Sus scrofa: one gene and its partner. The protein of the gene in region 2 purifies or fractionates together with the protein of the main gene of each other region. This does not show direct contact. Links are inferred from orthologs where the notes say so. Each region holds a gene or a part of one and is shown on either strand. Other genes may lie near its edges. The genes, in order: OTUD5 and CACYBP.

The links.
Region 1: the proteins of CACYBP (region 2) and OTUD5 purify together in Homo sapiens (affinity purification with mass spectrometry; 4 studies listed by BioGRID and IntAct, with this or other methods). This does not show direct contact. The link is inferred for Sus scrofa from reciprocal best matches to the Homo sapiens genes CACYBP and OTUD5.

What each region holds. Positions count from the first base shown.
Region 1 is NC_010461.5:42,998,549-43,014,208, reverse strand, and holds the end of OTUD5 (OTU domain-containing protein 5), read left to right. Parts: intron 1-4,935; coding exon 4,936-5,000; intron 5,001-5,085; coding exon 5,086-5,242; intron 5,243-5,340; coding exon 5,341-5,489; intron 5,490-9,273; coding exon 9,274-9,477; intron 9,478-10,935; coding exon 10,936-11,137; intron 11,138-11,225; coding exon 11,226-11,339; intron 11,340-11,637; coding exon 11,638-11,762; 3' UTR 11,763-12,718; downstream 12,719-15,660. UniProt on the Homo sapiens protein: Deubiquitinating enzyme that functions as a negative regulator of the innate immune system. Has peptidase activity towards 'Lys-48'- and 'Lys-63'-linked polyubiquitin chains. Can also cleave 'Lys-11'-linked ubiquitin chains (in vitro).
Region 2 is NC_010451.4:117,054,849-117,071,263, reverse strand, and holds the start of CACYBP (calcyclin-binding protein), read right to left. Parts: upstream 7,270-16,415; 5' UTR 6,872-7,269; coding exon 6,851-6,871; intron 6,450-6,850; exon of another isoform or gene 6,372-6,449; intron 2,547-6,371; coding exon 2,327-2,546; intron 1-2,326. Other genes in the region: RABGAP1L (rab GTPase-activating protein 1-like), read right to left, coding at 16,204-16,356. UniProt on the Homo sapiens protein: May be involved in calcium-dependent ubiquitination and subsequent proteasomal degradation of target proteins. Probably serves as a molecular bridge in ubiquitin E3 complexes. Participates in the ubiquitin-mediated degradation of beta-catenin (CTNNB1).

The DNA of each region.
Region 1 (15,660 bases), on a different chromosome or scaffold from region 2:
GGAAGGAGGTGTTGGGGGCCGGGGGGCAGTCCTCAGCTCGTACAGCCTTGCATCTTACCCAGTCTTCAGTCTTTCCTGGTTGGTGTCAAGGGCATCTGCTTGGATTTATTTTTATTTTTGTTTTTTTGGTTTTGGCTATGCCTGCGACATGAAGAAGTTCCCAAGCCAGGGATTGAATCTGCACCACAGCAGTGACCCGAGCTGGATCCTTAACCCATTGAGCACAAGGGAACTCTGGCATCTACTTATTGAATACAGTGGTTCCCTGTAGTTGTGAGGGTTGTTGTTGTGTGGGTATTTGGCCCCGGAAACATCTTTGGCAGGATCTACCAGTTGTATGTGTGCACAGAGTGCATTTATTTTATTTATTTTATTTTATTTTATTTATTTATTTATTTATTTTTGTCTTTGCCTTTTCTAGGGCCGCTCCCTCGGCATATGGAGGTTCCCAGGCTAGGGGTGGAATCGGAGTCACAGCCACTGGCCTACGCCAGAGCCACAGCAATGTGGAATTCAAGCCACATCTGTGACCTACACCACAGCTCACGGCAATGCCGGATCCTCAGCCCACTGAGCAGGGCCAGGGATCGAACCCACAACCTCATGGTTCCTATCCAATTTGTTAACCACTGCGCAACGATGGGAACTCCTCTTTTTTTTTTTTTTTTTTTTAAATGGCTTCACTTGTAGCACATGGAAGTTCCTGGGCCAAGGATTGAATCTGAGCACTGCAGCAACCTATGCCAGAATTGTGGCAACACCGGAGCTTTTAACCCACTGCTCTGGGCCTAGGATCGAACCTGCGCCTCTGCAGCGACCTGAGCTGCTGCAGCCAGAATCTTAGCCCACTGCTGCTGTTTCTGTATGCTCAGAGAAAGGGTAGAAGTAGAGTGTGGCAAGGGAAAGCTCATGCTGACTTCTGTGGCCCTAGCAAGGGGTACAGCCCCTGATATCTGTAATCTCTCCCCACTATAGGCCTTTCCAGGTTTCCAACTGATTCCTGCTTGTGCTGGTGGAGAAACTGAGGCAGGCAGGGTCAGGCCTGGCCCAGGAAGTCAGGTGGCTAAGGTGATAGCTGGATTGGGGTATTGTCAATGTCACGTTAGGGCATCAGGGCTTAAAGTTACCAGTTATCCTTGAAAGCCTGGCTTCTCCTTATCCTTCCAAATGTTGATCTTGGGCCAGCTCTGGCACATTTCTGTAACTCAGTATCCCTCTTGTGTAAAGTGGGGTTTTGGGGGTGAGGATGGAATGGATTGGAAAAGGTCTTGGTGGGACCAGTGGTAGTATTGTATGGAGGATTTCTGAGCCCTACTTGGGTTAGGGACAGAGGTGAGGTGGTAGGGGACCCCCTTCCAGCTGGACTCTAGGAGGGGAGAGCAGGTGCAGATTGCCCACAAGTGCAGTGTCAGCAAGAGGAGGAGTTTCGGTTTCTATCAAAACAAGTGCTCTGAATTCCCCTGCCTCCGCAGGACCATTGGGCCCTTTCCCCCCACCTTGGCCTCCGCAGGGAAGTCCAGCTCAGCCCCTAGTCCCATGTGCCAGCCTCTCAGGAGGAAGAGAGCTTGCTGGAGGACAGAGGTGGGGCTGGCAAAGTAAGACAAGCCTCTCCTCAGGTGAGGACTTCCTGTGTGCTTAGCCCTGTCCTGGGGGTTTTTCTGGCCTTATGTCATTGTGAAGATCCTACTACTCTCCCTAGTTGTCAAGGTATTGTTGCCTTGTTTTCTTGGTTCAGAAATGCACCTTTTCTTCCACATTGATGATTCCAAAACTAGGGTACCACTTTTTTTTTTTAAGTCTTTTTAGGGCTGCACCCAAGGCATACGGAGGTTCTCAGGCTAGGGGTCTAATCAGAGCTGTAGCCGCCGGCCTACACCACAGCCGCAGCAACGCGGGATCTGAGCTTTGTCTGCGACCTACACCATAGCTGCCGGCAACACCGGGTCCTTAACCCACTGAGTGAGGCCAGGGGTCGAACCTGCAACCTCATGGATGCCAGTCAGATTGTTTCCTCTGAGCCAGGACGGGAACTCCTAGGGTACCTCTTATAACCAGTGAGGTTGGTGCCCCCTCCCAGAAGCTGTGAGTAAGTATATGTACTGTACCACCTGTCAGTGCGTCTTAGAACTGAGGAGAGAAGGTGGTATATTTTATAGGTAAGTAGAGAAGGTCACATGTACCTTGTCCACACTTGAACCTGTTTTGGGAGACCTATGTTATTGATTTGATGTTAATTTGGTGGCTCTTGGGTGTGTGTGTGTTGACATATGGAAGTTCCCCTGCTAGGGATTGAATCCAAGCTGCAGCTGTGACCTATGCCACCGCTGCGACGATGCCAGATCCTTAACCCACTGTGCTACAGCAGAACTCTGGAGCCCCACCTCCTGAACACAGTAGGCCTCAGGTGTTTAGCAGGCCCTCCCCTTTTGTCTTTAACAGCCAGTGATAGGAAGAGGAGTTACTCTCTTCCTTTATGGATGAGGACATTGTGGCCCTGAGAGGTTAAAGGCTTTGTCCAGTGCCACATAGCTAGGAAGCAGCAGAGTCTGCCCGTCAGGTGAAGGGGTCAATGACAGGGAAATGGGGGGATCCTCATGGGAAGATTCTCCTGCAAGTCCCTTCCTTGTCTCGTAGTCTCCCTGAATCTGGCATCTAGCTCGGGTAGATCTACTTGCCAGGCCGGGAAATGCCTGTTGACCCTTCCCTAGGAGCATCTCAGCCACCTCCCTGAGCCTGGTAGACCAACCCCTGTTTAACCCCTTCACGCTCATCTCAGTTCCTGTTTACTGCAGCTGCCAACAGCACTGCCTCTTCGGCACCCCCAAGTTTATTCTACAGAAATAGCTCCTCAAGCAGCTCTGCAGCCACAGCGGGTTCTGTGGTCCTGGCTTCTAAGAAAGGCAGCAGTAGGGGGCCCCCCGGCCTGTGCACAGGGCACGTGACTTGCTGGAAGTGCCACGGTTGGGGGGTGGGGGGGAGAGTGTAGCCACAGAACCCACATCCTTGTTTACATCGGTGAAGGGGCTACCCCTTCCCGCCTTTACAACCCCCACTCCCCGTCACCCTCAGGTCTCTGCACCTCCAGGAGGACGTGAGACAAGCACGGGCCCCATTTTCTATCTCAGAGTGGCCTTTTTCACCTTATCTCACCGAGCCCTCCAGGGAGGGCAGGGAAGGGCATCGAAGGCGTGCTTCTGGTGATTCTTAACGGAGGTAGACTGGCTGTCACAGAAGAGCTCTCTGTGCTGGGCGATCCCATCAGAGCCATAGGTCTCCGGGGAGACAAAGGGCAATTCCTTCTTTGTCTTAGCCGGTGGACATGAGGTGTGCCTCATCTTCAAGCCCACGTTAATTTCTCAGGGAGAAGGCTCCCCAGCTCCCCGCTAACCTACCCATGTACTCAGCAGACTGTTCTCAATTTCTTGCCCTGCATCAGGCTCTGAGCTGGGGGTGGTCCTGGATGTGACCCACCTTCTATCCTCAGTGGGAGCCTAGTGTGATCAGGCAGAAGAAGTCCGGACACACCTTTGATAAATCTGGTGATAGAGATGCCCTTGAGGACAGGGAACTGTTTTAAGAGTATGTTGGTGTTTGACAGGTAGGCAGCCAAAGAGGATGGAAAGAACCTCTTGAAAAGAGGGAACGATATATATGCGGACATCATCATCAAGCAAGGCAGAGGGGATCCTAGTTCCTTCTTCCCTTTTTTTTTTTTTCCTTTTTGTGGCTGTGCCCACAGCATACCAAGTTCCCTGGCCAAGGATTGAACCCAGGCCATGGCCAAGCCGCTGCAGTGACAACACCAGATCCTTAACCTGCTGAGTCACAGGAGAACCCCTGCCCTTCCTGAATTAAGCTTAAGTGAGGTGTATATGTTGTGTCTTAGTGTTCTTGTAAACTACATGCTGCTTGTGGATAGGGGTGGGATTTTGCTCGCCTCTGTCACCTTCACAGTACCCCACTTCAGGAAAGGGAGCTCCGAGTGACTGCTCTGTTCCAAACCCAGTGTTAGTCACGTCACACCTGTTATCTCATTAATCCCACAAGAGGCCTTCTGGGAAGTTCCCCAGCTTGATCCCATTTTACACGTGAGGCCTATGAAGCTCAGAACACTTGGGTCACTTGCCTTGGGTCCTTTTGCTCACCTGTACCTAGCAGAACTGGGCTTAGAGCCCAGTTTTTCTTCCTTTTTTTTTCTTTTCCCTTTCCTTTGCATTTTTTTTTTCTCTTTTTGCTATTTCTTGGGCCGCTCCCTCGGCATATGGAGGTTCCCAGGCTAGGGGTGGAATCGGAGTCACAGCCACTGGCCTACGCCAGAGCCACAGCAACGCGGGATCCGAGCCGTGTCTGCAACCTACACCACAGCTCACAGCAACGCCAGATCGTTAACCCACTGAGCAAGGGCAGGGACCGAACCCGCAACCTCATGGTTCCTAGTCGGATTCGTTAACCACTGCGCCACGACGGGAACTCCTGCATTTTTTTTTTAAACTTCATAAAGGCCATGCTGACTCCTGAGAGTCAGGAAAACTGAATTCTAGAGGTGAATTTGTCCCAAACTGCCTTCTCTGTGACCTTCAAGCTGCAAACTCCCTGAGCCTCAGTTTCCTCATGGGAAGAGTGAGGAGGGACGTGTACGTGTGGAATTGATGGTGCTTAAGGCCACTTACAGGATTTAAAATATTTGCTGACAAAATCATCTGCCCAAAAGGCCTGTGGTTGTGTCCCTCTCACCCGTAAGCTTACTCTTAAAGACTGTACCTGCCTGCCTGCCTCTTTTTTCATGACCCTATTCTAGCCCATGAGGCCAAGAATTCTCCATGCCTTAGGGTAGGAAAGGGAGCTTCCCTGGCCCCCAGCCCTCCTTTGAGGTCTGCCACTCAAACTGTTCTTGGGTGGCCACGCTGACCCCAGCCTCTCCTTTTGTCCCCACAGCTGACCAAGTGTATGGAGACCAGGACATGCATGAGGTTGTGCGAAAGCACTGCATGGACTATCTGGTGAGACCTTGCAGGCCTTGGGGCGGGTACAAAGCGGCTGGATCCCTTCTGCACATAGACCTTGACCCTCTGATTTATCCTGCAGATGAAGAATGCCGACTATTTCTCCAACTATGTCACAGAAGACTTCACCACCTACATCAACCGGAAGCGGAAAAACAACTGCCATGGCAACCACATTGAGATGCAGGCCATGGCAGAGATGTACAACCGGCCCGTGGAGGTGTATCAGTACAGCACAGGTACTTCTGTGGTGGGTAGGCGAGCGACTGGTCACGCCTGGTCTGAGCCTGCCCCACCCAGCCCACTGTGGATGCTCCCTCCTTCTCTTTCTTTGCAGAACCCATCAACACATTCCATGGGATCCATCAAAATGAGGATGAACCCATCCGTGTCAGCTACCATCGGAATATCCACTACAATTCAGTGGTGAATCCTAACAAGGCCACCATTGGTGTGGGGCTGGGCCTGCCATCATTCAAACCGGGGGTAAGCAGGTGTCTGTGCCCAGAATGGATGCTGGATATGGAGGCCAGAAACCTCTGTCAGGGTCACTGTTTTGCTCCTAGCCCACAATTTTAAATGTCCTATTCCCTCTCTGAGTCGTTCCAAAGGTTTTGCCTCTATAAAATTAGAGTGTTACCCAAGGTGATCTCTCAGGGCTCCATTCTCTGGTCTCAGTTTGCCTGTCTGAGCGGACTCACTCATCTTTTACCTGTTGAGGATTGGTATTGTGGAATGGGGGGGGTCATACTTGGGAAGTGTGAGCCAAGGCTTGATTGGGTGTCTTGGCACCCACATGGATCCTCCTCTGAACCTCAGCAGGTACAGACAGCTGTGGTCCCAGAGACTTGGAGTGTAGGACGGGCCCCACCACTTACTGGCTGTGGGACCTAGGGCAGAATGTATGAGTAATCTGGCTGGCAGCTTGGCCAATGCAGAAAGTGTCTAATGCTGGGTCTGGTGCCTAGTAGGTGCTCAGAAGGTGGCAGTGCATTTTCCTAGCACACACTGACAGATTCTCATTCTCTGTCTCATAAACAGTTGTTTGCTGGGGATTTTGATACCTTCTGTGCACGTTTCACTTCCTACAAACGGAAAGTGCTCCTGCCTCATAAAATGAGGCACCATTTAGGGAAACAACACCCTAAACACCACCAACATAGAGGTTTTATGATTTTTTTTTTTTGGGTAAACTTTTAATCTCAACACTTTGAGATTTATGTAATTACTGCGATTGGAGCATTCCCACATACCCCACTGTGATTAATGTATGTTTGTCACAGCTAATGAACCAATATTGCTGTATTAACTAAAGACCATACTTTATTCACAGTACCTCAGTTTTCCCCCTAATGATCTTACCTGTTCCAGGATCCTATCCAGGATACCATGTTACATTTAGTGATCACGTCGTCTTTGGCTCCTCTTGGCTGGGACCGTTTCTGTAAATTTCCTTGGTTTTGATCTGTTTACAGACTCTAGAGTTTTACCTTTTCTAGAAGGTCATACAATTGGTATCGCACAGTATGTATTTTTTTCAGTGGTTTCTTTGAAGTAACGCTGTATGTTTTAAGATTCATCCATGCCTTTTTGTGGTTTGGTCACTTGTGAAAAATGTGAATGCCCTACGTCTTTTTTAATAGACTTAATTGTTTAGAATAGTTTTAGATTTACAGAAAAATTGAGAAGATAGTGCAGAGGTCCCATGTACCCTCCTCCTCCTTGCACACAGTTTTGCTATTATTTAATTTATCAGATGACTGGTGCATTTGTTACAGTTAGGTGGACCAGTAGTGATACATTATTATTAACTGAAGTCATCATGTCTCCTTGGGCTCCCCTGTCTGTGATGGTTTCTCACTCTTTCTTTATTTTTGGTGGCCCCGACAGTTTGGAGGAGTACTGGTCTAGGTATATTGTAGGATGTTTCTCTTTGGGAATTTGATGTTTTTCTCAGGAGGAGACTGGGTTTATGGCTTTGGGGCGGACGGTCACGGTGGTGAATGAAGCGCTATGCTCATTCCCATCGCATCAACAGTATGTACTGTGACTGTGATTTATAACTGTTGATGTTGACCTTGATCACCTGACAGAAAGTAGTGTCTGTCAAGTTTTCGCCACTGTACAATTACTCTCCCCCCCCACCCCCCTTTTCCATGTGGTAGGAAGGAAGTCATTATGTCCAGCCCACACTTAATACTTGGGGGTTATGCTCCATCTCCTTGAGGACGGAATATCTACGTAAATTATTTGGACCTTGTCTGCAAGGGAGATTTGCCTCTTAGCCTCCATTTATTAATTTATTCAGTCATTTATATTAACATGGGCTGATGGGTGTTTGTTTTATACCTTTTACACTTTGGGTTACAATCCAATTCTCTTTTCATTTGGTGCTCAACATTATTCCAGTTTTGGCTATTGGGAACTCTTTTGGTTGGTTCCTGCATCTCTGACATACTCCATCATTGTGGCGGTGTTTTGGGGGAGTGTTTCTTGGGTTTTTTTGTTTGGTTTTTGTCATGAATACTTAATTTTTGGTACTGGAAGGTGTTCCAGGTACATCTTGTATATTTCCTGCCCCAGTCCTAGAACTAGCCATTTCTCCAAGGAGCCCTATTCCTTTGTTGGAGAATGCTATTAGAAATCAAGATCTGGGTGCTGAGTGTGCTCCTTGCTACTGGGGTATCCTTGCTTCTAGGCCCTTTCAGCTGACAGCAAGGAGGTATATGTGTGTATACTAACTTGTGTGTTAATATACATACCTAGAAATATTTCTGTATGTGACCATCTGTATCTACATGAAGCTTCCGTTCTTACCGTCTTCAACTAATAGGTAGCTCATCTTTTTTTTTTAGGGCTGCTCCCATGGCGTAAGGAGGTTCCCAGGCTAGGGGTCGAATCAGAGCTATAGCCACTGGCCTACACCACGGCCACAGCAACGCCAGATCCGAGCCACGTCTGCAACCCACACCACAGCTCATGGCAATGCCAGATTGTTAACCCGCTGAGCGAGGCCAGGTATCGAACCCACAACCTCATGATTCCTAGTTGGATTCAGTTCCGCTGTGCCACGACGGGAACTCCACCTCACCATTTTAGTTTGCAATTCCTAATGACAAGTGGTGTTGAGCATCTTTCCACGTGCTTATTTGCCAGCTGTGTATCTTTTTAAAAATTTTTCTTGGTCTTTTTAGGGCTGCACGTGCGGCGCAAAGAAGTTCTCAGGCTGGGGGTCGAATCAGAGCGGTAGCTGCTGGCCTACACCACAGCCACAGCAACAGTAGAACCAAGCCACATCTGAGACCTATGCCACAGCTCATGGCAATGCCAGATCCTTAACCCACTGAGCGAGGCCAGGGATCGAACCTGCATCCTCATGGATACTAATCAGATTCGTTTCCTCTGAGCCATGATGGGAACTTCCTGTATATCTTTTTTGATGAAGTTGTGTGTTTTGCCCATTTTTTAATTGGCTTATTCTAACAGTTTTACGTACTTTTTTGGACTGTTATCCACGGGTAAAAAAATTACATCTTACATCTTTAATTAGTGCACACACACATTGGTGTGTATATATGCATTCAAATATGTTTCACTGAACACTGTGAACCAGCTATGATGGAAAAAAATAAAAATCATTATATAAAAAAATTTAAAAAGTTTCACTGAATGATACTTACATTTATTCCCTGTGATACACACTGATACTGTTCATTATTTCATTTTTAAAAAAACCCTATTTTGTCTCACAGCCTGACAAAGGGCATTCTCGTACAGTGTCGCACAACTCATAGCACCCCCACACCATGCTGACACGGTCCTCTTGTCCACTTAAGTGCCCCAATACTCCCTCCACCCTGTGCATGTGCTGCTAACTTCTCAGGTGATCTTTTCTCCTTGGTCCCATCCGGGTATAGGTGAGGAAGGCCTCAGCAAGTGAGTCGTCGCTGGGTGAGACTTCTTTTAATTTTGTCCTTGGCTGGAGGGCACCTGACTGCCCCAGACTTAGTCCTTCAGTTGAGGTGTCTTCTCGGGGTTAGGACCAGGGCTTCTAAGTGTAGGCGTGTGGAATGACAAGTCCCACATCCCAAGCCTGCCTTCCCCCAGTCCTTGATCAATAGGCAGCCTTCCCAGGGGGGTGCTTAGTAAGAATACCTACTTTCTTGTCGCCAATCTTCCGGGCCTGTGGGCCCACCTCCCTTAGCCAGGCCTGGCTCTTGGCTGGCGTTCTGAGTGTCATTGCACATCCCTGTTCCTCCCCTCCTTGCAGTTTGCAGAGCAGTCCCTGATGAAGAATGCCATAAAGACGTCGGAGGAGTCCTGGATTGAACAGCAGATGCTGGAAGACAAGAAGCGGGCCACAGACTGGGAGGCCACAAACGAGGCCATTGAGGAGCAGGTGGCTCGGGAGTCCTACCTGCAGTGGCTACGGGATCAAGAGAAACAGGCCCGCCAAGTCCGTGGCCCCAGCCAGGTCGGTCCTGGGCTGTGTGACTGACTGGTCCAGCCAAGGAACGTGTTCACTTCCTATGTTTTTCCCCCAACCAGGCAGAAAAAAATTAGGTAGTTTTGACATCTAGGAAAGAAGGAAGCTCCCAGCCCTATCCGTACCTCACCTTGGTCTTGGTCTTGGTGTTGCGCCTTAGAGCTCTCAGCACTTGTGCAGAGCAAGCTCTTTAAAGGAGGGAGGGGAGGGCAGCCACTGGTCACAACATGCAGGCCTCGTAGGTAGTTTTAGAGGGTCAAGCTTTCGCTAAATGTTACTGTGTCCAGGCTCTGTGCCAAGGATGTAAAATCAGTCCTGCCCACTCCACCCTCAGCAATCTCCTCTGCAGAAGGAGACAGCGTGCATCAGTGGGGCCCCTGACCCTGGCTGGGAGGCCAGTGAAGGTGGCGGGCTCTGGTTGTCGTCCCACAGAAAGGTTGAATTTTTGAGGCAGGAAGTGAAGCCGGGCATATGGACAGTTGAGGCATCACAAGTTGAGAGTGACTAGATGTTGGCAAGAGCTGAGTAATTCGTTGAACAAATACTTATTGCAGGGTCGTGCCAGGCATTGTTCTCTGTGTACAGGGGTACATCGGTGAGGCAGGCCGTCGCAGCTCCCTGTCCTTGGGGGTGCTTACATTTATGAAGGGTGGAACAAAATGATAAACATAATGAATACATGAGTTGCAAGGTATTATGGATGAAAGACATAGAGCCTGGTTGGGAAGGGGGAGGAGTAGGGCTGAGTGGAGCAGGGAGTTCACAGTATTCAATAGCATGTCACGGCCTCGGAGCAAGTGAGATTTGAGCAAAAGTTGCCGAGGTGAGGGGATTAGGTCCTATGTCAGGGAAGGCAGAGGGCCAGCGGAAGCAAAGGCCCTGAGGTAAGTGCACACGTGGTGTGAGTCAGAAGCAGCCCGGAGACCATTGTGGCTGGACAGGATGTAGTAGTAGGTGGAGCCGGGAAGGTGGCGGGCCAGATCGGAAGGGGCTTGTGGGCTCTGGTGAGGACTCTGGCTTTTATTCGGAATGTGGCAGAAGCCATGAGAGGGTTGTGAGCAGAGGAAGAATGGGATCTGACTTAGGATCCCTCTTACCACTGAGTGCAGGGTGGAGTCTAGGGCCAAGGTTGGAAGCCCGGGACCAGCAAGGAGAAGACTCTTTACAGTAGTGCTGGGGGCTGCTGAAGGGGCTGGATTCTGGATCTGTTTCGAAGGTGGCAGTAACAGGTTTCCTGTCAGATTGGCTGTTAAGGGTGTGAGGTTGGGGGGCGCTGAAAGAGTTTTACCTTCATCCCATGGTCCATTTTTGTGACCAGGTTTAGTGAGGGTGGCCTATGTGGAAGCTGTGTCATAGCCAGGATTCTGGGAGGGAGCAAGCCTTTTGGGGATGGAGCAGAGGAGGGTCGTGACTGTGTCCTTACTTCTTCTTCCATCCCCACCGTAGCCCCGGAAAGCCAGCGCCACATGCAGTTCTGCCACAGCAGCAGCCTCCAGTGGTCTGGAGGAGTGGACCAGCCGGTCCCCGCGGCAGCGGAGTTCAGCCTCGTCACCCGAGCACCCTGAGCTACATGCTGAGCTGGGCATCAAGCCCCCTTCCCCAGGCACTGTCTTAGCTCTTGCCAAACCTCCTTCGCCCTGTGCACCAGGTTAGTGGCTTGCTCACAGGTAGCATGCAGGGGTTAGGAGGGCCTGCCTAGGTCATGGGCCCTGCCTCTGATTGTCTGTCTGCCCCAGGTACAAGCAGCCAGTTCTCGACAGGGGCCGACCGGGCTACTTCCCCCCTCGTGTCCCTCTACCCTGCTCTGGAATGCCGGGCCCTCATTCAGCAGATGTCCCCCTCTGCCTTTGGTAAGCCTCCTCTGCCTAGGGCCCAGGGGCCAGCCGGGGAGAGAGGGAAGCAGCAGCAAGTCCTGAAAGGGGGCTCCTGGAGCCTCTGGCCATCTTCCAGGAAAGGAGAATTTTTCAGGCCCAAGGGGCTGTCCCACAGGGGACGTGAGGGGGGATTTGTAGGCCCAGAGGAGCCCTCTGCTTAGACAAAAGAGTGATGGGGGCCTGAAGGGGAGCTCTCCAGAGTCAGGAATTGGCAGAGCAAGGAGAAGGCAGGCTTCAAGCGCTCTGTCATCCTTTTTCCCTTCCTTTTGCCCAGCAGGTCTGAACGACTGGGATGATGATGAGATCCTAGCATCGGTGCTGGCAGTGTCCCAACAGGAATACCTAGACAGTATGAAGAAAAACAAAGTGCACAGAGACCCACCCCCAGACAAGAGTTGATGGAGACCCAGAGACTGGAGACCATCTCCCAACCCCCACCACTCTTGCCCTCCAGTGCCACCCCACCTTCTTTGGCTTTCTTCCCTCTTGCCTATTCCTTCTTCCCTCTCTCCCCTCCTCTCGCTCCTCCCCACTTCCCTCTGGCTGGCCCACCCCCACGCGCCCTCTCATCGCTGCCACCACCATCATCACCCGTCTCCTCGCCAGCTGATGTGCCCTGTTGCCCCCTGCACAGCACCATCCCTGCATTCCACAGGGGACTCGGGCAAGGGTGCTGAAGGTAGGCGAGAGGCACAGAGACAAACCAACTGGCAGCCAGGCAGCCCCTGAAGAGAGACATTCAGACAGAGGAAAGTCTCCCTGTCCCCCATTCCTTCCAAGATCAGAAACTTATCACCCCACCTCCACAATGATGCCAGGGAGGTGGGAGGAAGAAGTGGGAAATACCCTTCCCAGTACCCCCAAGAATGTCTGAGCCTTCAATGTTGAATTTTTTTCTTTATTAAAATGTACTTTTATCTTATAAAATCAACCAATCAAAAAGTGATGTAGACAACAGCATTGGCTCTGTGAAGGTGGCATCTCTCTGGTTTGGGGGCAGGCAGGCCACGGGGCACAAAGATGTGGTTGCTGCCCCTGGCCTCCAGCTCTGTGGAGGTGGGCAGGGTCTAGAGTGTGAGTCAGACTGAGGTAGGAGGGCAGGGGGAGCAGGTGTCAAGTGGGCTTTGGACAATGAGACTCTGACCTCGCTGCATTCCTTACGCTTCCACCTCCACCACCCGTCTTTGGAATCTCGGGGTGGGGTACCTTTGAGGATCATGGCCGCCACCCAGGATTTGAGTGTGGGGAGTGGGAGCAGCATCGGCAGATGGGGCACCCATGCCCTGCAGGTGTCAACAAGATCCGCCATCTGTAATGTCCTTGGCACAATAAAACCAAATGTCAGTTTCCCCCGAGCGCCTCTGTTCTGTGTGGGGCAGGGGGTGGGTGGGCCTCTGGTCAGAGGCAGCGATGGCACAGGCCTTGGCTTGACCTCTGAAGGGCCACATGCTCTCCAGTGGGGTCTCTCTGGGGGCCCAGAGTTCATATTTGATTCACAGTTTACTAAACCACCTTTTGGACCTGTTATCACCTGTCTTGGCCAACTGCCCAAGCCTCAGTATCGGCCCAGGCTATAGCCTGCCCAGCCCATTTCCTGGGGTGTGATGGGAGCCTCGAACTGAGAGCTCGATGGCAGGAGCCGAACTTCCAGTGTCTCTGCCTGCCTCTCACCCCAGCATGTTTGCTCTTGTGATTGTTTGATGAGGAAGTGCTTTGGACAGGCACGACGGTCACTGCATATCAACGTGAGTTTAGTGGAAGTGACCAGAGGGGACTCCCGACCCCCCACCAGGTTTTAGAAACTGGGGGACAGCTAAACCTTTTTTTCGTGTTCCCCAGTTCTCTTGACACTTTCCTTCCCTGCCCTTCCTAGAGGTAAAGCCAAGGTGAGAAGGATGGCTGGCCCTCGGGTTTTGTCAGTTGTCTTTTTGATGTCCTTCCAGAATGCCCCTGTGGAAGAATGTGTGTCCAGCTCTGCGGGTGAGGGTGTGGCTGTCCGCAGGGTGTCCCTGTGGAAGCCACTGGTCAAGCACATGTGTTGGAGAGTTGGTTTGAAACCTTATCAGCTTTTTCTGTGTGGCCTTGGTCAAATCACAGGCTCTCTGAGTTTCCAGTGTCGTGTGTGTAGGATGGGGGTGATTAATGTCTACTACCTCACACTCTGGGTGTGAGCATCGAGAGTGCATATGGTCAACATAATGTTTGGTGGCACGGTGCCTGGCACATTCTGAGAGTTCAAATGTTAGCAGGTGTTCTTATTTATTATCCTAATGTTGACGTTTCTGTACCATTTGGCCCCTGCCTACTTCATCTTGCTTCTCTGTCCAGTTTCCTTGGCCTCTGCCTGGAATTTGCCCTTCCCCTGTCCCAAGCCTCCAACCTTGTCTCTCAAGATGGGTAGAGGGGTCTCCTTCTGAGAAGCCCTGTGTGACCCCATCTACATTCTCATTTCTATCTACAAATATGTCTACTCCTTCCCCAGTAAACTGTACTATCAACTTCCTGGGCAAGGGCTGTGATGCCTGGCTTATCTGTGTATCTCTTAATTATCTGCACCCCTTCTAGGGCCTCGCAGGCTTACAGTAGACCCCTAATAAATGTTGGATGAATAAGGGAGAGTACATGTGTGTATTTGCTTTTTGGGTGTGTGTGTGTGTGTGTGTGTGTGACTGTGTGACTGTGGTGAGTCCAAGTCTATGTGCCTCTCACAGAGTGTTTCTCTGGTCGTGTGTGTGTTTGTGTGTGTGACGAGGGCTTGTTTCCAGGTGTGTCAGATGGTGACTGGGTGTGAGATTCTGTCTCTGACAGTTTGTTTCTGAGATGAGTGCATGTCTGTGTGGGTCTGTCCGTGACAGTGCACGTGTGGTTTCTGTCTGATAGGGTGCACGTCCGTTTGTATTCCTGTGACAGACTCTGGGTAGCTATTTCTGAACAGTGTCAGTGACGGCGCTGCACGTCTGCTGTATGTGTGTGTCTGTGACTGTGACTGGATCTGTCCATGTCTGTTTTTGTGACACTGCCTATCTGTTGCTCTAGCACCTAAGTATATGTCTGGCTTTGGAGCAGTGCATGTGTGTCTCTGGAGTGTTTGTGTGTGTTCCTGTGTCAGACTCTGGGTCTCTCGTTTCTGGAACAGTACAAGTCTTTTCTGTGACACTGCATGTCTGATGGTGCCAGTGTCTTCGTCACAAGTTCTGGCTGTGTGTCTGGCAGGACATATCTGTGTCCTCGTTACATGTAGGTCTATGTGAATCTCTCTGGAGTGCCTTTCTGTAACAGTGCATCTCTCGAGTGTCATTCTGGAACTTGACTCTGGCAGCATGCCTGCCTGACAGTGGATGTCTGTCTATGTGTGACAGTAGGTATCTGCATGTGTGTCTAGGACAAGCTCACATGAATGGCGGCACATGTTTGTGTATTTCTCTCGCGGCAGTTCTGTGTGTGTCTTTGGAGTGCCTGTCTCTCTTCCTGCGGCACGAGAGCTATTTTCCCCAAATCTGTGACTTGACCACCTCCCGGAGCTCTCTCAGTCCGTCTCTCTCATCCGGAAGCATGCCCAAGAAGCCACCCCCACTCTGGCTTGCTCCCATCCCCAAGAACCCCCCCCCCCGCGCGCGCGCCCCATTCGCCATTCCAGATTCTAGATCTGCTGACTGGGCTCACAGCCAGGTCTAGGCAGGTCTGTCTAGGTTAAGGGCTGCACAAACAGCCCGCAGGCCGTGGCCTCCGGGTGTGGGAACACTGCCCTTGACCAGTGCTCCTCCCACGGTGGTGAGGGAGGTTAGCCCTCCCTGACGGCTGAACAGGTTCTTCCAGGATCCTCAGCTTCAGTTTCCGGGCGGAGGCTGCCAGTCGCCTAAAGGGCTCTGGTTCTGGTGTGAGGAGCACCCTTTGGAGACCGGCCGGGATTCTTAGAAGCCTTAGAAGGCCTGGCGTTATCTCCGGCGGCGGCAAAGCAACTTCCTAGAAAAGGAGGCGGTGCATTGAATTTTTTTTAAGTTTATATATCCACGTACACACACTTACATAAAAACAACCCTGCGCAACAACCAAAACAAACGCGGTTGCTGCAAAAGGGATTCCCATAACCAGTTTCCTCTTCGCGCGCGCCCCCCTTATTTGCATGCAGGCCCCGCCCCCGAGGAAGATCCGGGCATGTATTTGCATAAGGGTGCTTGGAACGTTGAGGGTGGTATGCAAATAAGGACTGGCTCCGATTGGCTGGGGTGCAGCAGGTGCCGCGTCCGGATTGATCAAAGCCAAGTGGGCGGGGCCGTCGCCCGGGGCGACTCTCTCG
Region 2 (16,415 bases):
AAGTTAGGCATCTAGCTAGTGCTAGAAGTTGGATTCAGATCCAGGTTTACTGAACACAAAGCCCATGTTCTTTCTTTTTATTCCTTAGAATGAGGAATATGATTGTTAAATATATTCCTTAAGAATAGCTCATTTCCCCTTTTTATGGAAATAATTTTGTCCTATTCCCAGATATTATTAATTCTCCACAAGCTGACTGGCTAAATATCAATACTGTCTAATTCCATAAGCATTTTTACTTCTCTAAGCAAATCAAAAAAATGCAATCCTAGCTTCCTCAATTCCTTTCCCTGACAAAGTAGAATGAATATAAATTTTTAGAGTCCAGGGGAAGTTCCCCTTGTGGCTCAGTGGTTAGCGAGTCTGACTAGCATCCATGAGGACGCAGGTTCAATCCCTGGCCTCACTCAATGGGTTATGGATCCAGTGTTACCGTGAGCTGTGGTGTAGATCGCAGATGCGGCTCGGATCCTGCATTACTATGGCCATGGTGTAGGTTGGCAGCTACAGCTCTGATTGGACACCTAGCCTGGGAACCTCCATATGCTGTGGTGCCGCCCTAAAAAGAAAGGGGGAAGAAAAAAAGGAGTCCAATTCATCCAAGTCTGCCAATTTGACTAACCTACACATATCCAGAAAAGGCTATTTCAGTATATATTATCAAATTATTCAGTCTCCAACCTAGATGAATTCTTTCAAAGAAAACATGCAAACATCACACAAGAAGCAAATGATAAAAATATACATGTATTTACTGTGTACTATATGACTTTTCCTCACCTAATTCTATAGAACAAAAATTCAGTGTTAATGAAAAAAGATCTCCTAAATGGTTCTATAGAACTTCATTTTGTTTCTCCCCATTCATTCAATCCATCCTCCACATTGCCAAATTTCTCCCTAAACACAAATCTAGGTTCCTAGTTAATACTCCATAATCCTACCACCTTAGTTTCCTACAGTTAACGACATGCACAGCATATCTCCTACAGTACTGCAGTGCATCACTGAAACATGAAACACACATTGCTTTTTGCTATGACGATACTCAAAACACATGATGCCTTTCATGTCCTTTGCCTTCCTTTTTTACATTTGCTGAACTCATTTTTTTTTTTTTTCCTATTTTTTGCTTTTTTGGGCCACATCTGCAGCATATGGAAGTTCCTGGGCTAGGAGTCGAATCAGAGCTGCAGCTAACCCACCAAGAGACGCCAGGGACTGAACCCGCATCTTCACGGATATTAGGTTTGTAACCCACTGAGCCACAATGGAACCTCCAGAACTCACTCTTTAAACTCAAATGTTTCTTCCAATTCTTCCTGACTTTTCCTCCCCCCCAGGGGAATTATTTTAACAGCTATATTCCCATAGTACTTTATAAATCTATTCAGTTAAGCAAATATTAAGTACTTACTATGTGCTACATACTGTGAGCATAAAGACTGTCCCTCTCCTTATGAGAGCCCATTACTCAGATTCCAAGTTACACTATTTCCAAAATAAAATGTCTATAATCAGTTGAGGGAAAATGGTATTATGACATTGTTATGGTATTAGCTGTATGTGTTCCAACCACACCATGAGCAGGATTGGGTCTTGGTCACTGCTGTGTACTCACAAGTCCAAGTACAATAAAGGCCCATATTAGATGCTCAAAAATGTTTCTTGAATTTAACTGGTTTCCCTTCTTCAGTTAATATGGGTGGATAGTTGGCCAAGTGAAAACCAAAAAAGGAAGAAAACCAAAACAAAAGCTGTGTTCCATGTATAATTAATGTATTTCAGAATAGGTTCCTTCTGTTGCTACTCATCACTGTACTAATCATCTTGCCCTCTTGTTAATTAGCTTCCAGAAATTCATCCCTTCTTCTAATCTCTTAAAAAGCATCTATTAAGTAAGAATTGACAGGTGTTCTCTTATAAATCACCAAAACCAAATACTTTATACACTGTTTTAAAAATTGATTTGGGGAGTTCCCGTGGTGGCTCAGTGGAAAACAAATCTGACTATCGTCCATGAGGACGCAGGTTTGATCCCTGGCCTTAGTCAGTGGGTTAAGAATCTGGCATTGCTGTGAGCTGTGGTGTAGCTTGGATCTGGAGTTGCTGTGGCATAGGCCAGTGGCTATAGCTCTGATCTGACCCCTAGCCTAGGAACCTCCATATGTGCATGTGCAGCCCTTAAAAAAAGAAAAAAAAAAAAAAAAAAAAGAAAAAAGAAAGACAAAGATAATAAAAAATCTGATTTTGTTAGTGGGTCACTACTGAGGAACAGGCTGCTCAGAGGCAGAAAGAACTAGATGGGGGGGGGCGCAAGTCATACCATAATTACTGATTTTTACTGTATATCCTGTTGTAATAGGAGCAACCACAGCCGCCGGCTTTTCATTTTCCAGAAGTTCTGCTTTCCTCTGTGATTTCTGCTGCATCTTGTTCTTGATTTCTGTCTCAATCTTGGACTTTTCAGTGGTCAGGGTATCACGTACTCTTTTTCTAGTAGCCTTTTCCAGAAGCACCTTCACCTCTTCTAGATCTTTCTGTAGCTGTGTTAAAAAAACACATTAGCTATGATAAATAACAACATGATGTTGTGCACATTGGTCATTTCAATTTACTGAAATAGGAGCTAATAATAAGAGGTTCATTTAAATTTTCTAGGGTTGAGTAGCAACAAGGATTTTTTCGTTCAGCCTATTGAATTGTAAATAACTCAAGCTCCCTTTTTTTAAAATAGGAAAACCTAATCTTCAAGTAACAATAGGTAATCGAGCCAAAACTTTCTAGTTTGGTAGACTGTTAACTCTTTTTTTTACTTTTGTGATTTATAAACATTTTCTGATTTGTTAAGATGAAATTCAACAAAAAGGAATTCTTGCATTTCCTTGTAACTTCCAGTCCGTCATCAGATATTAGGAATTTTCTAAATATTAAAAGATATAAGTGAATACATGATGAGTGTGGTGAAATGCTACAGCAACTTGACAGGTTATCCTCTACTTTCCATCACTAACTGGTCCTCACTGATCTTCCTATCCCAAATAATACATATAAAAAGTTTACATTTTTAAGGCAAAAGATAAAAAAAAGATATTTCTTCTAATAAGTTTGATTCTGAAGCTCCAGGTTTCTTTTACCATCAGAAGTCTGGGACCTGGTTTGGTTGCACAGTAAAGGGTAAAAACCTGGGCAAATAATCCAACATAAAACACAATCCTGGATCACTGGAAATGCCACCTGCTTCTTATTTGTTACACCAAGACATTGCCTATCCAAGGCTACTGCTATTTCTTTTCAGGGGCAGAGCCAAGATTTTGTGAGGTTAAGAGTCAAAGACACTGTTAGAAAATTAATGAGCTTAAAAACTTTTCCTCGGTTATCCTCTGACATAATGCAAATTTGTAAGATCTTTCTAAACAGGGGATTCATTTTTTCTTAAAATGACTTTACAATCTGTCTTGATACTAGCAATTTGAACAGAAGACTTTGATATTATAGCCTGAGATCATATAATGCTCAAAATAAAAATATTTAAATGCTTGATAACTCAGTATAATATGTGAAGTACAGTTTTAAAGTCTTTATGTTTCTTAATAGTATTAGAAAATGCAAAACAGGGGAGTTCCCCGTCATGGCGCAGCAGAAATGAATCCGACTAGGAACCATGAGGTTGTGGGTTCGATCTCTGCCTCGTTGAGTGGGTTAAGGATCTGGTGTTGTGGTGAGCTGAGGTGTAGGTTGCAGACACGGCTCAGCTCCGACGTTGCTGTGACTCAGGTGTAGGCAGGTGGCTACAGCTCCGATGGGACCCCTAGCCTGGGAACCTCCATATGCCACAGGTGTGGCCCTAAAAGGACAAAAGACAAAAAAAAAAAAAAAAAAGGAAAAAAGAAAAAATGCAAAAACAGAAAAATGAACTCTTTTATCACAAGTCTTTTTATCTCATTTAACTCCAATACTCTGTTTTGCCTGTATGTAACTGCTAAAAACATGGTTTAAAAAGTCTGTGTGCCCAGTCTCTGGTCCACATTCTATCTCCGGCTCTCAAAATTCATTTATTACTAAGGCAAAAAACTGCAACTCATCTTTCGAGCATACAACCACGATGCTGCTAGTTCAAAGCAATCTTTTTTTTTTTTTTTTTTTGGCTTTTTAGGGCCACACCTGCAGCATATGGAAGTTCCCAAGCTCGGGGTCAAATTGGAGCTGCAGCTGCCGGCCACAGCCACAGCAACCCACGATCCGAGCCTCATCTGAGACGTAAACACAACTCATGGCAACATCAGATCCTTAACCCAGGGAGCAAACCCAGGGATCGAACCCGCATTTTCATGGATACTAGTCAGGTTCGTAGCACACTGAGCCACAAAAGGAACTCCCAAAGCAATCTTTTTGTTATAATTTCTTCAAAAAGTCACGCTGATTCTAATAATATGATTAAAACATTTAAAATGTAAAATGAGTATGTTTTGTTTCCAGAGTAGGGATTTAGGTTTTTTTTAAAAAAGAAAATGTATAAATTCTAAACAATATGGATCCTTTTTCTAGGAGACTCAGAACTCTGTGAATTTAGCAATGTATGCCCAGACCCTCTTTACAGCCAGTTTGGCTCTACAGCACCACAAAAATGAGATATCCACTGTTAAGTCTGAAGCAACTTACAGCAGGCCTGTTTAAGATAATTCCTTAGTTCTCTGTTATTTACAAATTTGAAATGAGTAATAATGATCCCTTTGGTGCTTTTCCTGTAAATATCTTTAAGATGCCTGAGATACAGCAGTTTGTCACCTAATTTCTCTAGGCATTCATTTATCTTCCTTATGCAAAATCACATCTCCTTTTTATTCCTATCATAAATATATTCAAGCTTTCTCTTCTAACTTATTTCCAAGTTCTTCACTAAGAAGCATTAAAACCAAAGTGGTTCAAAACAGGCAAAGGACTTGAGCAGACATTTCTCCAAAGATGTACAAATGACCACCAAGCACATGAAAAGATGCTCAACATCATTAGTCATTTAAGGAAATACACATCAAATTCATAATGACATACCACTTCACACCCACCAGGATGATTAACATCAACAAACAACAACAAACTCCAGCAAATAAGAGTTGCTGAGGATGAACTGAAATTGGAACCTTCATACACTGCTTGTGGGAATGAAAAATAGTGCACTTTGGAAAAGAACTTAGCAGTTTGTCGGTTAACCATATGACTCTGTAATTCCACTCCTCCATATATACCACAGATTTGAAAACCTATGCCCACATAAAAAGCTGTACACAAATATTCACATCAGCAGTGTTCATAATAATCAAAGTGAAAATCAACCAAATGTCCATCAATTTATGAATCAAAATGTGGTATATACATACAATGGAATATTATTCAGCCATAAAAGTATATGCTTCACCATGGATGAACTTGAAAACATAACGCTAAGAGGCCAAAAAAGTCATATGCTTTAAGATTACATTTAGATGAAATGCTCGGAATAGGCAAATCCACAGAGACAGAAAGCAGACTGGTGGCTGCTGGCAGAAGAGGAGTAATGGGAAGTGACCGCCTAATGGCCACTTAATAGGTTTCCTTTGGGGGTGATGAAAATGTTCTTGAATCATATACTGATGGTTGCACAACACTGTGAATATACTAAAAAAAGCACTGCATTATACACTTTAAGATGGTAAAAACAGCGAATTTTATATCAAACAAAAAAACCCCCCAAATGTCCCTAAACTTATACACTGCAATTAGAAAGCCTGTTACTTTGAAAGGGATAAATATTGAGCAACTCGTGTATGTACAGTCACTTCAGAGTCTTTCCTCAGGGCACGTGGTACCCAAAGACCTATCTTTAAAACACATAACAAACTTGTGGCACATTATCCACAATAATACTTAAAACACATACACACTTTTTCATTTAAAGCAAATTCTTCGACTTAAAAAGTCAAATGTGAGGATTTCCCAGTCTTGTTCATATTAAGCAGAAGATTCCCAGGGAGTAAATCTAGTTAGTGGAAACCCAACAATTAACTGTGATTAACAGTATTGTCATTGTACTTAAGCCAGAAAAAAGAGCAAAGCAAGTATTATTATTCCCATTTTGTAATTGCACAAACTAAATCTCCAAAAAGTTAAGCCACCTGTGTTGAGTTTATAGAGCTTTAAAAAAAAGTTACAACCAATTTCCCAATATAGTTATTTTTTAAAACGCACATAGCAAACAATTGTTTTGCCAAGCACTGTTTACAACCCTGTGAAATGGATACCACTGTGGCCCAGAGATGCACCATAACTTGCCCAAAGTATGTGTAGAGAAAACATGACAGAGAATTTAAGTGCTAGGACTGAGGACTTCTCACCTTCCAACTGCCCTCTCAGTGGAACGACTCTCAGTTTTTGCAATCGGCTTTAATTTAACGAAGCTTCACGTCCAAAGGCTGGTGTAAAAGGAGTGAAAAGAGCCTGAGGATAACGTGAAGGTGACCAGCTCTTGGGTCCACGGTTGGATCCACCTGCCGCCGAGAACCGCAACACACCTCCGCTCACCTACAGCGCCGACCGCCGGCCGGGGTTGTGGAAGGCATCCAACGGCAACTTTCCGGGGTAAGCGAAGCCCCGAAGGCCCGCAGTGGCCGGTCGGCACCGGGGCCGCCACAGCTGGGCGGGTGGGAGGCCGCGGGGAAGCGCGGGAACCCAAGGACGCAGGAAAGCTGCCAGACAGGCAGGTGTCGCCGGCAGCCGCAGCGCAGCTCGATAGGGGAAACAGGGCGGTGGGGCGAAGGACGCAGCGGGAAGCTTTAGTAAGGCCGAGGGAGGAAGATGAGGCCAGACCCCTTACCTCTTCCAAAGCTGAAGCCATGGTCGAGCTGCGTCAGGCAAGGCCCGAGCTCCACCGGCACAGGGCGAGAACAGGAACGCCGCAACGAGCGCGCTGATTCCAAGCGCAGATCGCACGGACACGAGTCGCAGTGGCCGTGGCCGCGGCCTGAGAACACGCCCGACTCTGAACGGGAGAGCAGCCGGCCTCCGGCACGCGGCGCCTCTGGAACCTTCGCGAGTCCGTCGCCGAAGGCCCACCCCGCTCCAGCACCGCCTATAGGGCTTGGCCCCGCCCTGCCTATCCTGGCCCCGCCCCGCCCACCTCGCCCCGTAGCAACGGCTCAACTCTCGCGATCAAACCGGCAGTTCGAGAAGAGTAACGCCTCTTCCTTCCCGCCTGGGCAACTGTACGTAATTTACTTTGACCCCCATCGCGCCGACTGCGCAGTCGCAGCTCGAAACCGCCGCTTCTGCTTACCTTAAACCACCCCGGAAATAACGCACCAATCTTCGGGGCCTAAACCGGAAGTTGACTAGGCAGTCGAGTGGTTCGGTGCGCTCTAGGACCCGGGGCCACTTCGTCGGCCATCTTGTCTAAGACTGTGAACGTATGCGAGTAAAGGACGAAAAAAGGGATAAAGGCGAGCCTACGTGTGCTAAAACGGGAAAAAACGAGGACATTAAGTGCGCAGGATCCTGAGGGGAACGGTTGTGTTTTCACTGGGTTCTGGCGCTCTGGGGACGTCAGGATTCAGCGTATACGACGTGGTGGCGTCATCACCGGTCGCAGTAGGAGGTGGGGTTGCGTTGGCCGTGTGGCGGGACCCAGTGGCGGCTCCGAAGCGGAGTAAGCTTCCTAATATGCTGGGCGCCTCCCGGGGTGGCTGAGTTTGCTTCCTTCATCGACCAGTCACCAGATTTGGATTCGATTTCAGTGAGCCTATTAATGTCAAAGAAAATGTGAGCTAAGATTTCCTGAGGCTGCATTCTGCTCCGGTTCTGACTCCTGCAGCCCGGCTTAGTAAGGCCCTTGAAAAACTCACTTTTCAGATAGATTATTTTAGCCTTTGGGGACCTCAAAACGTCTGAAACACGGTTGAGAATGTAGACGGTTACCCCTGAGATGTCAAATAACCCACACTCGGCTTTATCAACCCCAAGGTAAAGATGATCCGCAAGTCACAGAAGGAAAAAAGTACAGAAAAATGCAGGGCCATTATCTCAATAAAGAATCAGAAGTACAATACAAAAACAAATTACTTTTGCACACAACTTATGGACGTTAAGGAAAAGATGCTAGAACTAGAGAAGTTCATATCGTTTGATTCCATTTAAACAAAATCTAAAGCTGTGAGACTGAAAATCAGGTTGTGTTTGGGAAGACAGTGACAGAAAGAAGCCACGAGGGGGCTTTTGAGATTCGGCTAATTTTTTTTTCTTGATTTGAGCCCTGGTTACAGATGTGTTCACTGTGTAGAAATTTCATTGAGCGTCCTTCTGTGCAGTTTCTTGTGTATGTTATTTTTAACTAAAAGTTATATTTAAGTAGGCCCAAGAGGTAATTTTCCTGGTAGAAATGTAATACCGATAACAATCGTCAAGATTCGTAGGACTGAACTCCAAAGATCTGTGCATTTTATTTATACTTCAGGTTTTTTTTAAAAAGTGTCTAACTGGAAGCTTGGAATTATTTAGGCACTTAAATAGGAACAGATATCCCATTGCACTATGTGAAAATTTGACCTAATGCAGTGGTAAAAATTTGCTTGATTATGCACCTGGAGCAACTCCACCCCTCAGATATCCTAAAGTCACAAGTTTTAAACACCACCTATATGTTCATTCCCACCACTCTTCGGAAATCCAGACGGTCTCTGCGTGGATGTCTCATAAGCAGGTCCAACTCAGCTTGTGTAAAAAAACGCCTCTCAATTTCTCGTCCTCACACCTCATTGCAATTCTTACAATGATTTGCTAGCTCTGTGAATGGCCACCTCATTCTCTTAATTGCTCAGGCCAAGAAGTCATACTTGAGTCTTCAGTTTCAGGTCCTACATCCCATCTTCTGGCAAGTCTTGGTTTTATCTTCAAAGTATGTTGGTAATAAAACTACTTCTCATAATCTCCACTGCTACCAACTGAGACTAAGGTGTCATTATTTTGTCTGGATTTTTATCCTCTTAACTGGTTTCTCTCCTTCTCCACAGTTTTCCACAGGGCAGCCAGAATAACCTTCACAATTGTATAGAATAAAGTCCAGACTCCTCACTATAACCCAGGATGTTCTACATGATTTTATATCTCACCTTTTATAAATTTCCCATCTCATGGAATTCATCTCTCACCACTCTCCCCTCTCCCTGGTTTAAACACTGGTATTTTTGTCATTCCTTGAATCCACTGAGTTTCTTCTTACCTCTGGTTCTGCATGTAAACTTTGCTTTCTCTCTGGAATGGTTTCCCACCAGATCGTCACTTGGCTTTGTCTGTCTTCCCTTTCTGCCCGCATTTAAAACACCTCAGAATTCCCATTCTTAGGAGTCAACAAAACAAAATTCTGCTTCTCTCCAGATGTATACTATAATTGTCCATACATCTATCATGTAGAAGCAAAACTGACTCCTTGCTCTGCTGCCATTACGAGTAATTGGGTACATGGGATCTCAAAGCAAAAACAAAAACTTTGTATCCTGAGATAGATAAAAAAACAACAAAAACAAACAAAAACCAACATCATCAACATACACATCAGTTCATTGTGTCTAGTTCTAGTTCCCCAATGAAACTCTGAACCTGAGCTTTTCCTATAAAATTAGACTCCTTAAAAATCAAACACACTTTATCTCTGACTTTTGCAATGCTAATGTCTAATAAAAGTATGGATAATAGTGAGAATTACTGTTTCTCAGCAGGAACAAACTACTTACAGAGTCTATACTTGGAAATTGTATAGTTTTTTCCTATAAATATTGTAATTTCTGTTTGGTGAGTTCATCTTTCTGCAGCCTGAACTTCCTTGTAAGTGAATTATTAAAAGATTGTGCTTTGAGTGCCCTTTTGACAGTAATCAAAAGTTTTGTTAAAGTGTAATTTCAAAAAGGTGAAATCAAGATTCTCAGGCAAATATAAAATGAGCTTTGCTATTTCATACAACTCATTGGTTAATGATAGAATCAATAAGTTGTTAAAACTATCAAAAAGTGCATTTGCATAGCTGAGTACTTATGGGCAATTTAACAATGGAATGTTAGTGTACATTTTCAAAGTTAGACATAAGCTGGTTAATGTCCTATGGTGTAGTAAACTACATATGGCCTTTGGAGTTATGTGTTCCTCTGGAAGGAAAATAGGGATTTGCACACTACTGAACAAAAATCTACAAGTTAACAAGTAACTTCACTAAGTGTAGGACCTTTAATCAGTAGTGAACAGTGAGTTCCACTTACTATTATGTCAAGACTACTCATGACCTCCTGTCAAATTCAGTAGATATTTTCTGAATAATTTACTTTTGATGTAAAATTTCTCATTGTTTTAACTACAACATGGACCAAACAAAAGATGTCTGTAGTCTGGGTTTGGGCCACAAACTAATTTTACAATCTCTGATTAGTATTTTTTTTAAAATACTGAATTGTAAGAGGAGATCTGCAATCTGACTTTCATTCAGTTCCATGTACACCCTGAATGAAAAGCAAGTTAGAAAAAAACACAAATCAGGATTCTAGGCACCCTGCCTTCACTCCAGGAGAGCCTCTGGAGCACTGTTGGATTATATAATGACACCCACTGTGACTCTCAAAGGCTAGCAGTAGCCACCCAATCCAGGACTAGCCAAGCATATTTTTGCAAGATTTTGGAATTGGGATGCTGAGATGCTAGTCCATCTCTGCTGGTCACTTGAAGACATGTAAACTTGGAAGCTGTGCATTTAGAAGCAGATGCCTCTTTTCAAAGAGGCAGGAGCAGATAAGCATCACCTGGCAAAACAAGCAGAAGAGTGATTATGAGAACAGTTGCTTAGGTTCCTGATAGAATACCAGTTCTCTCTCCCCATTGCTGCCTCAGGCCCAACAATTTAGCTTTTGGTAGCTATGAATTAAATATACTTTTTTCTTCTTATTTAATTGCATTATTAGTAAGCTAGCTGGAGAGAGTTTCTGTTAACTTGCAACCAAAGAATCTCTACAGAGAGGAATACAGGGCACTTGGCTGTGCTGTACAGGATATCGTTTTGTAGGGTAGGTATAACCTGGAACAAATTCCTGTGTATTTCTTCTTGCTTGTGTAGAGTCTAGTGTCAGATAAGTTTTACATAAAAACCGGGTTCAGATGATTCAGAATAAAATCAACTAAAGAAAGTAAAAAAGACATGTATGGTTTCCAGAACAAATGTTTATTACTGCTTAATGGGGCCAAAGGGGCAACACAAAGCATTGAAAACATCACTGGCTCACAAAAACAGTCACCTTGCTACCTTCTTGCATTTGTTTACTTCACAAGGCTTCATTCACACGTGAAAACAAGATACTAATCCAATTCAAGTTCATAACAATTATAAAAGTAAACATTTGTTGGGACAATGTACAATAAATTGCACTTTTCTTAACAAGCATTACATTTACATTTATAGAGTGTACTATACATAATACATGGAATTATGGAAACATCTAATTGGTCAGTGTTTAGAGAGGAGAAAAGCTGCTCACTAATTTCTTTTGTAGTCAATTAGCACAGTTTGGTCTAATCAACTCCTTTATTCTGGAACCTGTTTTCATTGGAGAAGCCATGGACAAAATCATAGAATTCACAAAAATAGATGGCATAGAATTTCTACTACCTCCCCAGCAAGGGGAAAGGTAGGAATTGAAATAAATAAAGTGGGACTGAGAAACTTTTTTTCTTTATTTGAATTAAGGATCCATATATTATGCAAAATACCAAAAATAGTGAAACTGATGCAAAGGTTATTGGAATCTTGGATTCTGGGACCATTTCCAGGCTTTATTCTTGTGCTTTCATGACACCAGAGTCTTGATGTATTTATGTCCTTATCAATCAGTTTCCTATATTTTAGTCCATATATAATATGTAGTTATTAACAGATTTTACATGTTAATTTATTGCCAATGAAAAGGGAAAGAAACTTAAAATATTAATTTTCTACTCAATGATTCTTTTAAAGTTTTCAGAATACCACAAATGATAAACCGGGGTGGGGGTGGGGAGAGTGGGACGTGTTGGTGAAGATGTTTTTATAGCAGGTAGCAAATTCATTTGAAGATAAACTTAACATGTAGTCTTTTAGATGGAAGCTTAGTAGGGAACATCTGACAGCTGGCTGTAGTCACTAGGCTACTTGTAAACATCCACTTTTCTCCTTACAACTCAAGATCATCTCCCACTGAGGTGCAGCCCATACTGAAGTATTTGTTTTGATAGCTTTTGAAAGGTAGGAAAATGCCTCAGGGCTTTGCCTGTATTGTATGGAAGCCACTCTAAGAGAGGAAGTATGTTGTGGAGCAGTTCCAGTTCAATGTTACCAGCATGGCAACTGGAGGGAACAAGTTACGTCTGGTAGGAAAACAGGGCACTGAGCTGTGTCTGGCCTTCTGTATCTGATCACCATGTGCATGTTCAGTTGCATGGTACCTGGGTATTCAAAAGAGGCAGGGATACTCCATATAAAATTCTACCAATCTCTCTTTCACACACACACACACACACACACACACAACTCCTCCATATAAAATTCTACCAATCTCTCTTTCACACACACACACACACACACACACACACACACACCCCTCACAACATTCAAATCAAACAACAGAGTTTGTCCACGCTCTCATCTACTTGTAACTGAAGCAAGAGAATCAGAGCTACTTTAGAGTGTTTTTTTGTAAAGAGTAAGTTATACAACGGAATCATCTTAGTAAATAAAAGTGTTCTTTTCAAGAGAGCTAAAACAAAGTATTTGATTTTTTAAAGGCTCCTTTCTCTCTAAAAGGATCCTGAAATCAGACAACTAACTTAGCAGAATGATTTGCAACTAATCAACTTAAAGGATCTAACTCTCACCTCTTGTGCCCTAAACTATGTATCCTCTCGTTTTTCTCAGTTTAGCTAGGAAATTAACCACTAGTTATTAGCTGGAAAATATTTTAAGAAAATGGAGTAAAGGTTTGAGAAAAATAAATATTAATACATAGCATAAGAGAAATAAAATTTTTGAAAACAATGGAAACAAGATAAATACTATTAAATATCCCAACATTAGTACAAAGATTACTTTCCTACTTTATTATGGAAATTTAAGAAAGCCAATGAAGAATAAACTACTAACTTAATAGCAGGGAGAGGGGAAGAGTGTTACTGGTTGCATGGAAAAACAGGCCATAGGCCTATGTCACATTCCTATTAGTGTTTCTGATAGGCACTCATATATAAAACATTATAGGTAACTGAAAATTCTTTTGCATTAAATCATATGTAACTAAATATAACTAAATTGTGCCATGGCTCAGGATGTAGGAAGCTAGCAAACAATGCACTGCAAAATTCAGCTTGGTTTCTTTCAGCTTTAAGGAATGTGTTATGATTCTTAAGATATAAAAGCTAATGACTGAATTGTCAAATTGAATTTCATTCCCTTAATTGATTCTGCAGAATTTAATGAAAAAAAAAATCACTTTTCAGAATGCTGCAAATGTTGGCTGTTTTATACTAGGGAAAGATGAAAAACACTCTAGAATATTTGGAAATTTCCTGGATATTTGGGCTGGTCAATCCCTTTCTAAAAGAAATCAAGAGAGGAGTAGTAATTTTCAAATATACTCAAAATAAGAGAAATTAAAATTAGCAGTTACTTAATGCTGGGATGCATGAGTTTTCAATCAATACATGGTAAAGGACATGTGGTTTGAGACAGTGCTATTATAACATTATATGAATAATTTACCAACTTTTCAATTTTCTTTTTTTCTGTATTTGCAGTTGCTACTCACCCAAAGGCATTGCAGGGAGGGCCAGTTTAGTCTATGGTACCAATACGCATACCCAAGTATGATTCGGAACTGGAGAAGGGTACAAAAAAAAAATCTATAGATGGTCATTATAATCTTTTAAAAGAGTTTTTAAAAATGCAAAAGATGAATTTATTAAATGTTTGGAATGTATGTACCTACTGATTTTGTTTAAAGAAAAAAATATAAGGGGCTATGAAATTGAGCCATGTCTACAGGTAATAACTACAGGTAAGGACGTACAGCTATTTCTCTCTCAACTGCCATTTAAGGAAAATTATTCAATTTAGGCATTCTGTGAAATGGTATAAGAGCTCTGTACAGTTAGATTTATGAGAGTCACAAAACACAAAAGAAGAGCTTTAATTTAGCTAGCCATTTGATAAGGCAACGTGTACAAGGCTTCTTGGGATCTAAAGCATGAAGTACCAGTAAAGCTAACAAATTATACTAAATGATTTACAGAAACAAGTACCAAGATGCAATTTTCTAGCCATTATATTTTACAAAAAAAGAAAAAAAGAGAAAAAATTACCTTTTCTAAACCATCATGTAGGGAATGTTAAAGTCAACACAGATACTCAGAATGCTGAGTTACTTTCCTTTTGGGTGAAAGGAAATGAAAACTATGATAAAAGATGTGGAGGACAAAAAAAATTTTTTTTTGTAAGAAAAGTATTATTTGATGAGTGTAACGAAGGATAACAGCCACATCAGTTTTATGGGTTATAGGTGATATGAACACTTACTGATAGAAGGGACTTAACTTTTTAGAGTTTAATGATTATTTTTGAGGAAAGGAGCCACCGTGAAGAGCTTGTAGAGCATGCTCCTGGAGTGAAGATGGTTTTTATGCTTTTTACCTCCAAGAGTATATTACTTTTAACTGCGACGTATGGCACAGATGAGAATTGCTCTGGCACTGCAGAGTTTAAGATCCCTTGCAAAAAATATGCTCAACAACGAAGCCAAGGAAGAGTATCAATACATGTTACTGTACATAGCTGACAGTAGTTTGGTTGGTGTAAAAGGACCAAAGGCCTCCAAAACAGCTTTAAAAATGGGAAAATTAGTTTTTCCCTTACCAAAGGATTTTCCTGCAAGGTCTATTTATAAAGACATGTTAAATATAATTGAAAAAAATATTTCCATCAACTTTTAAACAATAGCTTTACCTTTCCATGAGATAAGTATTTCTATAAAGGTTTTATATGCAATCAAAAATGTTACAAATGCATTTGCATCTCTTTATCTAGGGGTACCAGGGGCACATTTTTAGGAAGCTACAGAAATCAGAAAAAGTTGCCTAATATTAAACTAAGATGACATGAAGCTGACCTCTATTTCCCATTTCATAACTTTAACAAAGTTATAGTATATTAGTGTTTCCTTAGCAAGTATATAACAACATTAAATGAAATACTCTGTCCCTGGTTCTATTCCATTCTAAGCACAACAGCTGTTCCTGGGCCTTTCTAGCTTCTCTTGTGAAGATCCCTAAAGCAACTCACAGCATCCACTTCTGACTGTACATTGGCCAGAAGTCACAACTGTGCTCATTCTTAGGAACTTGCAATTCCCAGATGGAGTTCTTAAAGGGACCTGTTAGAATAGTAGGACCAAAATGATTTATTTTATCCTGCATATATCAAAACCTCAGTTCTTTCTATCTCATGTGTGTTCTCAATAGTCAACCTTATTCCGTGGTTCTTGGCACTTTATTTCCAGATGTACCCCAAAGAAAATAAAAATGAAGTATTCTCCTTGGGAACTGTTCATTTCCAGATCTGTTCTTTCTTTCGGACAAGGTTATCACTATCCAGGGAATCATTTTCAGGAGGAAACCTGACAGTGGTCATGACTGGCCCCAGAGTGCTTTATCTGAATAAATCCTGAAAGTTAGGAGGTTTAGGTTTCAATCTTTTTTTTTTTTTCTTTTTTCTATGACAAATAGCTTTCCTATCACTTCAATCTTGGAATAAAAGACATCTCCATTTTTATGTAAGATAAAAATAATTATGAATAATTCTAGCTCTAAATAAAAAGCATTTAGTTCTGAATTACTTATTTCCAGTCAAACATCAGGCATATAAAATAATGTGTAATACTATGATGGATCAGAACACGGCCTTCCGTGAAGAAGCACAAAAACAGGTATTTAACATAAACCATGTTAGTTTAAATTACATCCCTTTGAAAGTGTCACACAAGAAAGAGTGAGAGCTACTGAAAGATCGTGACTTGCTGTCTGGCCTCCTTTACTCTCCTTCAAAGGGACACCAGGGAGGATCTTCCTGGGTTACCGTTGCTTTGATCATTGTGCTCTTGTGCTTGGGTGAGGCTGGAACTACGTGCTCTCTTTGGGGGGCTGGGTGGCCTGCGGTGGCTGCAGGGGCTGTGTGCCTGTGGCCGTTTTGATAGAGTTCAGGGTTTTGCTAAACCAAGAGTTTTTTGCAGCTTGGATTTCATTCATAAGGGCTCCTCTCTGATGTTCAAGTTCCTAATTAAAGAAAGAAAATCATCTGAGTTATATAAATGTTTTCTCTCTGCCAAAAAAAC